2 linked regions of the Macaca fascicularis genome follow. The protein of the gene in region 1 interacts with the protein of each later gene in a biochemical or structural test. Links are inferred from orthologs where the notes say so. Each region holds a gene or a part of one and is shown on either strand. Other genes may lie near its edges.

What was found.
Region 2: the proteins of NR4A3 (region 1) and SIX3 form a complex in vitro, tested with the Homo sapiens proteins (3 studies listed by BioGRID). The link is inferred for Macaca fascicularis from reciprocal best matches to the Homo sapiens genes NR4A3 and SIX3.

What each region holds. Positions count from the first base shown.
Region 1 is NC_088389.1:58,296,645-58,300,454, forward strand, and holds part of NR4A3 (nuclear receptor subfamily 4 group A member 3), read right to left. Parts: intron 3,398-3,810; exon of another isoform or gene 3,212-3,397; intron 2,986-3,211; 5' UTR 2,812-2,985; exon of another isoform or gene 2,808-2,811; intron 1,916-2,807; 5' UTR 1,875-1,915; coding exon 1,844-1,874; intron 622-1,843; coding exon 1-621. UniProt on the Homo sapiens protein: Transcriptional activator that binds to regulatory elements in promoter regions in a cell- and response element (target)-specific manner.
Region 2 is NC_088387.1:77,099,468-77,103,277, forward strand, and holds part of SIX3 (homeobox protein SIX3), read right to left. Parts: intron 3,665-3,810; exon of another isoform or gene 3,259-3,664; intron 2,300-3,258; exon of another isoform or gene 1,621-2,299; intron 1,270-1,620; exon of another isoform or gene 990-1,269; intron 364-989; coding exon 1-363. UniProt on the Homo sapiens protein: Transcriptional regulator which can act as both a transcriptional repressor and activator by binding a ATTA homeodomain core recognition sequence on these target genes.

The sequences.
Region 1 (3,810 bases):
CGGCCGGGCTGGGCGCGGGGGGGTGCGGCGGCGAGGGCTTGAAGTGGAAGAGCGGGAAGCGCGCGCCGGCCACCGTAGGCACCGCCTTCATCGGCGGGTCCAGCAGCGAGCCCGGCGCAATGCAGCCGGGCGCCGAGGGCAGCGCGTCGTCCCATAGCGCCCCCGCCTGCGGGGGGAAGGCCGGCGTGGTGGGGGTGGACGGTGGGGACTGTTTGAAGTACATGGAGGTGCTGGGGAGCACCTCGTCCTCTGGGCTGGAGGCGGGAGGAATGGATGGCTGTTGATGCTGCTGCTGGTGATGGTGGTGGTGGTGGTGGTGGTGGTGGTGATGGTGGTGGTAGCTGGGCGCCCGCCCCTCCTCCACTTTGATCAAGGGCCGCTGCATTTGGTACACGCAGGAGGGCTTGAGTTCGTAGTTGCTCGAGTAGCCCTCGACGAAGGTACTGATGCTGGGCAGGGACGTGGTGGCTGTAGCCGTGATCTCAGTGCTGCCGAGGTCCATGGTCAGCTTGGTGTAGTCAGGGTTCATGATCTCCGTGGCGTATTCCGAGCTGTATGTCTGCGCAGCATAACTGGAACCTGGAGGCGAAGGGCTATATTGGGCTTGGACGCAGGGCATATCTGCAGGGACCGAGAAAAGGGTCTCTCAGAAGCAAGTTAACACTTGTTTTCTAGCCAACAGGCAGCACTGAGTTCACTGTTCTCTAATCTGGGAAATAGAGAGGAAGTGTCATCCTGTCCTCCTCCTGGTAGCACAGACACAAAGCCCCACACTTATTTACTTCATCCCTAGTAAGGAAGCTGAATTCTTGACAAAGGGGTGCCAAAACCTGACCTGTGGACCTCTGTGCCTATCTTCCCTCCCTTGCCCTGTCCTCCACCAGATTTGGGAAACTTGAAGTCTTTCCTCATAAGCTCACAGATGTTTTTAAAAAGAGGTGTTGAGTCCTGTAAACTAATTGGAGTGGCCTCCTCAGCTATAACCTAGGAGGACAAAGAGAAAGCCAGCGGTTTATTTGGGGGGAAAGAGGCCATTGGTCCCCCAAGGCACACACATTGATTTGTAAACCTGAGTTAGTCAAAAAAAAGCTACCCTGTGAGAGATTTAGTGGCCAAGGGAGAGAGTTGACATTCTAACATTTTATGAGTGCCAATTGAGGCTGCCCACACACGTTGTGGTTGCTTTCTCCCACCCCCTCCCCACTCCTCCAATAGGGCTAGCAGCCTGCACAAACTGGACCCCTGTTGATAACTTCAGTCAGCTAGGTGGGGACATAGGCCCAGGAAATGGACTCGGGGGAGTTTATACCATCTGCAAAGAAAAAGATCAGCAGCTGCAACAAAACACCCACCCATATATATATATATATATACACACACACATATATATCCCAATTCTAACTAATAAAACAAATCAGTGGCTGTTTTGTGATAACAGTTTATAACTATTATAATAGGCAAGTTAGTATTGGTATTTCCTTATGACACTAGAATTAGTACCCCGATAAAGAAAAAAGCAGTTTCTGAATAGACTTGATTTCTCTGCCAGTTTGACTATGTTGCCCCCAAAGTGGCTGGTATCCAGGGTGCTTACTATTGTTCAGAGAGGCTGAACTGAGTGAGAAGGCTCTGAGAATTATTAGATGTTGTGGATGATTTATCTAATTATTTTCCTTTCTTTATGGCTAAATATAAATGGTAAAAAAACGGTGGTTTCTGGTGGTTGGTTTTTCTGAGCCAAAGGAAAACCAGGTGCTTAACGCCTCTTTGGAGTCTATAGTGTAAAAGGTGTGACTAATAGAGAAGTGAATACTTCACATTTCCTTTGACATCTTTCTCTTACCCACATTTCCAAATCTGATTGAGTCATGCATGTATGGGATGAAATCTTGACTTGAAAAAAGGTGATGAGGGCCTGTTGGAAGAAGCAGTGATGAGGAGAGGCCAGTTCAAGCTTTTCTTTAACAAGCAGGGCCTTAAAAATACACTCACTAGTTTGAAGTCCAGTAACTTATCTTGCTGTCCAGTTGCTGGGATGAAATGAAAGGCTAATCATTTAGAAGAAAGAACACTGCCTGATCTTTCATCTATTCTCCTTCTCCCTTCAGCACCTCTAGGATTTCTCCCTTAGTCTTTTCTGTCATTCTTTCCGGCCAGTCCCTTCCTATTGCTCTTATTTGTGTCTTTCTGAGGTTTCTCTCTAGAAGATGAGCTTGCTGGGATTGTATTCTATTTATTTGCATTATCTATTGTGCCCACACAGGCTTGGCACCTAGTATTCCTTTAACAAATTTGTAAAGAGGTGGTACAAACCAAACGTGCAATCTGTTCTTTCGCCAAACTCAAATTTACTCTTTGGTTTTCAGCTCAAATGCTTTTCTCCTTCCCTCCCAGCTTCAATCATCCAAACTTCTGCACCCAAATGATTTGAGTTGTATATAAATGAAAATGCTCAGTATTGCTCTAAGTGATTCCATAACTCTTACATGTGTACACTGACTACAAAAGAAGAGCAAAAATGAAATAAAAATGTGTAATATACCCTAATCTATTGGTGTATTTGTATTTCTCTTAGGAAAATTAATTTTGAGCAATGCAAGCTTAATTTAATTTGGCTGCTCCACTCAGTAGCAACAGGGTGTGGTATACAGAGGAGCTTCCCATGAGGAAGCCACCTGTGTTGTGAAATTCGCGGCCAGCCGTCACTGTCCTGGCACTGGGCAGATCGACCACGCTGCCCGCCGAGTGTGTGGTTCCCCCACCCACTTCCCTCGGCCAGGGAGGAGAAAAGGGTCGTGCCTTCGTACCTACCTGGAGGGTATCTTGCGCGCTGAATGGTGGGGCTGGGGGTCTCTCCAGCGGAGGCTGAGAGTGTAGGAGCAGCGGACGTCCGGTGAGGCGAAGTGCCGGCAGTGCTCCCCGGCACCGCTGAGGGTCCAGGCTCAGGGCCCGGGCTTGCCGGGCTGCGCTCTTCCACAGTGGGCTCTACAGGCACGGGGAGAGAGGACATAGGTCACAGTGAGACCAGGATGGGTCACTACGACCCGGGCTGGGCGCATTGGGGACTGGGGGAATTGGTTGGCGACCTCTAGAAATGCTACATTAATTACAAAGAATTATCATAAAATTAAGGGTGATTAATGGTACAGGAGTCCCCCTGGGCAAAAAGCATCACGCAGCCTTGGGGAAGCCGAGGAAAGGTTGTACGAACCCACTGCGCCTACCACTGTTTTGTGGCACTGGAACCGAGGCTAAAAAACGCGCAGCCTGTTATCGCCCAGAAATTGATCTCTCTGCCCCCACAATTGATTCCGAGCTTGCGAAGTCAGGAAAACCGAAGAAAGCAGAACACTTGAAGAACGAGCTCCGCCGGAATACGGGGGTCAGTGAGTGTTCACTAGCGGAAAAAAGCCATTTTCCAACTCCGCCCGCCCCCATCCCTCAAATACAAATTTTACACGTTGCATAGGAAATGCACAAGGTCCGGAACGAATGCATGAATGCCCCAAGGAATTAAGAAAGTCTGCGCTTTTCATTCTAAATGCTAATGGAGCTTCGCTTCTATTAGCCGCGAGTTTCAAGGGCCAGGGGTCAAGCAAACAAAAGGGCACAGCAAAGGAAGCCTGGCGCTGGAAGCAAGGGGACGAAGCGGACGGCGTTCGCGGCCGATGGGGCGGGCGAAGGCAGGTCCCCTGTACCCAGAGGGCGGTGTCTTCGAGGGTGGGCCGCTTAGAGACTCCCGGCCACCCAGCGGCCTAGAGGGGGCACATTCCTGAGGGCGCCCACCGCGGCTCCGGGACCAGCGTCTCA
Region 2 (3,810 bases), on another chromosome or scaffold:
CGGGGGCCACGGGCAGCGACCAGAGGAAGCGGCCCAGCCGCTCGATGTCGCCCGTCTCCTCCAGCGTCTCACAGACGCTGGCCACCTGCTCCGGCGAGAAGTTGAGGGTGGGCAGCTGGAACATGGACAACTCTTCCGGGGGGGCCCTGGAGCCGCCGCCGCCGCCGCCTGCTCCGCCAGCACCGCCGCCTCCCGCACCGTTCCCTCCGCCGCTGCCGCCTCCCGCGCCGCCGCCGCCTCCCGCACCGTTCCCGCCGCCGCTACTCGCCAGAAGTATGGAGCGGTGGTGAGAATCGGCGAAGTTTGGCAACAAGAAGTGGGAGGAATAGAGGTCTAGGGGGGAGCGGAATACCATGGACTGACCTGAGAGGAGAGGAGAAAATTCAGGGAGAGGAAGAGAGAGGGGAGGAAGAGGAGGAGAGGGGCGATGAGGACCAGGAGGAGGGAGAGGAGAGGGGGGAGGAGAAGAAGGAAAGGAGGGGGGAGCAGGAGGAGGAGGAGGGGGAGGAGGAAGGGCGTAAAGGACACCCACACCCCACACACATCCACACACACACACACCCGCGCAGCCACATAGAGAGGGAGGAAGGAGAGCGGCCCGGTGCGCGCGCGCAGAGAGAGAACCCGAGACGGAGAGAGAGAGGGAGAGAGGAGAGGGAGAGCCAACCACCGCCGAGTCAAGATTCAGCGATTCCACCGCAATCGCCCTAATGACAACAGCCTCATAATATCTCCCCTAAATCCACAGTGAGTGCAGCATTGAAACATTTTGTTTCGCTTTTCTATTGGTCTGTGGCGTGTCGTTGTGGCGTTGCCACGGCAACCACTGCCAATCACTGTCAGCCCTGCCAATCAATACCGAGAACGTAAGGACGGTTTTACCACTTAGCCAGAGGGCGGGGGGAGGGGGAGAGCAGGGAAGGAGGGAGAAGGGGGGGATAAAGAGAATTTTTTTTATCTTTGCAACTCTTAATCTCGCTACTTCCCCCTCTCTCTCTTCTCTTCTTCCTCTCTCTCTTCTTTTCTCTATCGCTGTCTCTGAGCCGCCTTCTTCCCTTTTCCCCAAAGAAGTTGATCCAGAAATTCGAAAAGCCCTGGGCACAGAGTTGTTGAATGGGATGTGCAATTAGAGCGGGGATTTTGTTGGGAGGCAAGAGGGTCCCCCAGGCTCCACACAGGCCAGGTCGGCGGGCAAGGAAAGACGGCTGACCAGCCCAGCGGGCGCGGTTTGCACATGGTTTGCACGTCGAGTCGCCTCTTTCTGCCTATGTGAGCACTAATAGTGGCAAGGAAGAAAGGAGAGATGAGATCATGGGGCCCACCAAGCACCGACCTTGGCCCAGCGGGCCGTGGCGCCAGCCAGGGATCCCGGATTCCGAGGGTATCTGGCGCCAGGGAGCCTAAGCCCAGTTCCCAGGGTGCTGGAGGCCGCTCTTGCCTCCCCCATCGGTGCCCATGGACCACATTCACCTCAGCTCCCTCTTCATCAGTTAGGCTTCTCTTTACTCCCTCCCCAGCCAAGGAGCCTCGATTTCCCCCACCACCCATTTTAAAATAATAGTCCAAACAGTACAGTTCTTTCCATCTTAAGAAGCAACTCAACTCTTTGTTTCCTCCCAGAATTCAGCAGCCTCTGTGAGGAGTGGTGGAGGAGCTGCGGGAGCCGAGAAGCCCAAGAGCCCTCTGGACCCGGAAAAGTCCCACAGATGCCCACTCCTCACCACACAACAGAAGGATCTCTGGTCCTGCCTGCCAGCCCCAGAGGGCACTCAAACTTTGGAGGCCAGCCACCCGGATGAAGTGAATAAGGCCTGAAATTGCTTGTTTGCTCGTATTGTAAAATAATAATAATTACCATTATTATTTTAAAACTGCCTAATTTCTCTAGGGAAAGTAACATTGAAAGCCTAAAACACACCCCAAAAGGCCCATAGAACACAGAGGGCCCTCTCTGTCTCTGGCCACTACAGCCCCCAGGCCAGGCATGGGTATTTATTCTTAGGTATGTTGCTTTTAAGAAGATGTAATCAGCATCTTGAGCCGGGCCTCCCTTTGTGAGGCTTCTGTAACTATGGAAGTGTGATTTACGCAGATTTGTCGGGGTCAGAGACGTCTTTCCCTGAGCGCTGTGTATATTTAGACAGGACTCGGTTTGGTGTTAAAAAGTGTATATGTTGAATAGATTCACACACAGTAGCCAACAATGACCACATTGTCGGCCCGTGTACAACGCGTATTGAAACGCAGCGCCCAGACTTCAACTAATCTGCCCTCAATAAAGCTGAAATAATTATCCTAAGCTGCCTTTCCAGAAGAAAAATCATTGAGGAATTCAAAACTTTTTTTTTTTTTTTTTTTAAAAAGATCTTTTCTGCATTCCGATGCAGATCTGGGGGCAAGGCGCCGGGTCCACACCACTTTGGTGATCTCAATGAGGGAAGAGAGAAAGAGAGGTTGAGAGAGAATTTAAATGGGAAACCTAACGTGACTGGGGCTGCGAGTGTCCCAGCCCCTAAACTCCGAGCTGGAGCCCTGCTTAGGCCTTGACTCCCGCAGTGCCAGGCCTCTGAGGGCCGAGGGGAAGAGCAAGCCGGCAAGTGCAAGCCTCCTTGGAGGCTTCCGGCGGCAGGGAGGCCCTGGGACCGGCGAGGGGCCAATACTGGCTCACTTAGCCAGAGGCAGCCGTGAGGTAGCAGGTCTTAAACACGACGACTGGGGCAGAAAAATATTCCTCCAAAGGGAAGACCTGCCAAGCCCCATTTCAGTGCTCTCTCCACTCCTGCCAAGCCCCATTTCAGTGCTCTCTCCACTCCACATATATTTCCTCCCCTCCCGGCCATGAGTCCTCCTCCAATGCAGCTGAGAAGCTCTGGGCGGTCGTTCACTGAGGGCCCAGAAAGAGCCCAAAGGTTGGGACTCAAAAACAGACACTTCATGTTTTCTTCCCGATCCCTTTCTCTCGTAGGGGAAGGATTATAGGCTGAAGGGTGGGAGGGGGAAGGGGCAGGAGGAGGAAGCGGGGGAGGAAGGAATGAAAAAGGGGAGGGGAGTGGGTATTGTGCCGCGTGTGGGGGGAGAATTCCTACGGGTGGGTTTCCGAATATTGTGTTCAACTTTTTGAAAGCAGCTCGTGACCCCGAAACTGCATCCCCCGGAGCCAGGGACCCAGGCGCCGGGCGGGCGGGTGAACCCGGTCAGTCCCCTCCCCGTCCCCGAAACCCCCGCCTCCGGGTGGGGGCGACCTGGCCTCTCCCTGCCACTGCCGGGCCAGCCCCGGAGGGAGGCTGGGCAGGTGCTGCGGGCTCTGCGAAAGCGCTGAAATCAAAAACCATCGCCACTCAGGGAGAACTGAGGCAAGTGGGGCTGAGACTCTGGCGACACCCCCACTGCCTCCCCCTAGCCTCTGCCCCAGAGCCTGCCGCCCCGTCGCACCCCGCCTGCTCGGGTGGTGACCGCGGCTCCGGAGCGCCAAGCAGGGCAGAGGGCTGCAGCTAGGCGTGTAGCTTTGTGCGCCGGGACCCGGTGGGGCGGGTGGCATCCCGCGCTGTCCGCGCCTCCCAGCAGAGCCGAGCTCGGCGCCGCCCACCGAGCCCACCTCGCGGTCCAGCCGCCGCCAGCGCCTCTCGACTCTGGCCTGAAGCACTACTCTCGCCGCCTGGAGCCGGTAAGTTGAGAGTCCGCAGAGCAGGGCAGGGAGGCGGGGTGGCTGGTCCCAGAGCGGAGGGCCGTACTGGCTCCTGGCCGGGCTGTGGGCGCAGGCTCCATAGGGTCTCAGTCGAGGGGTTCTGAGTGTGTGTTTGGGTGGGAAGC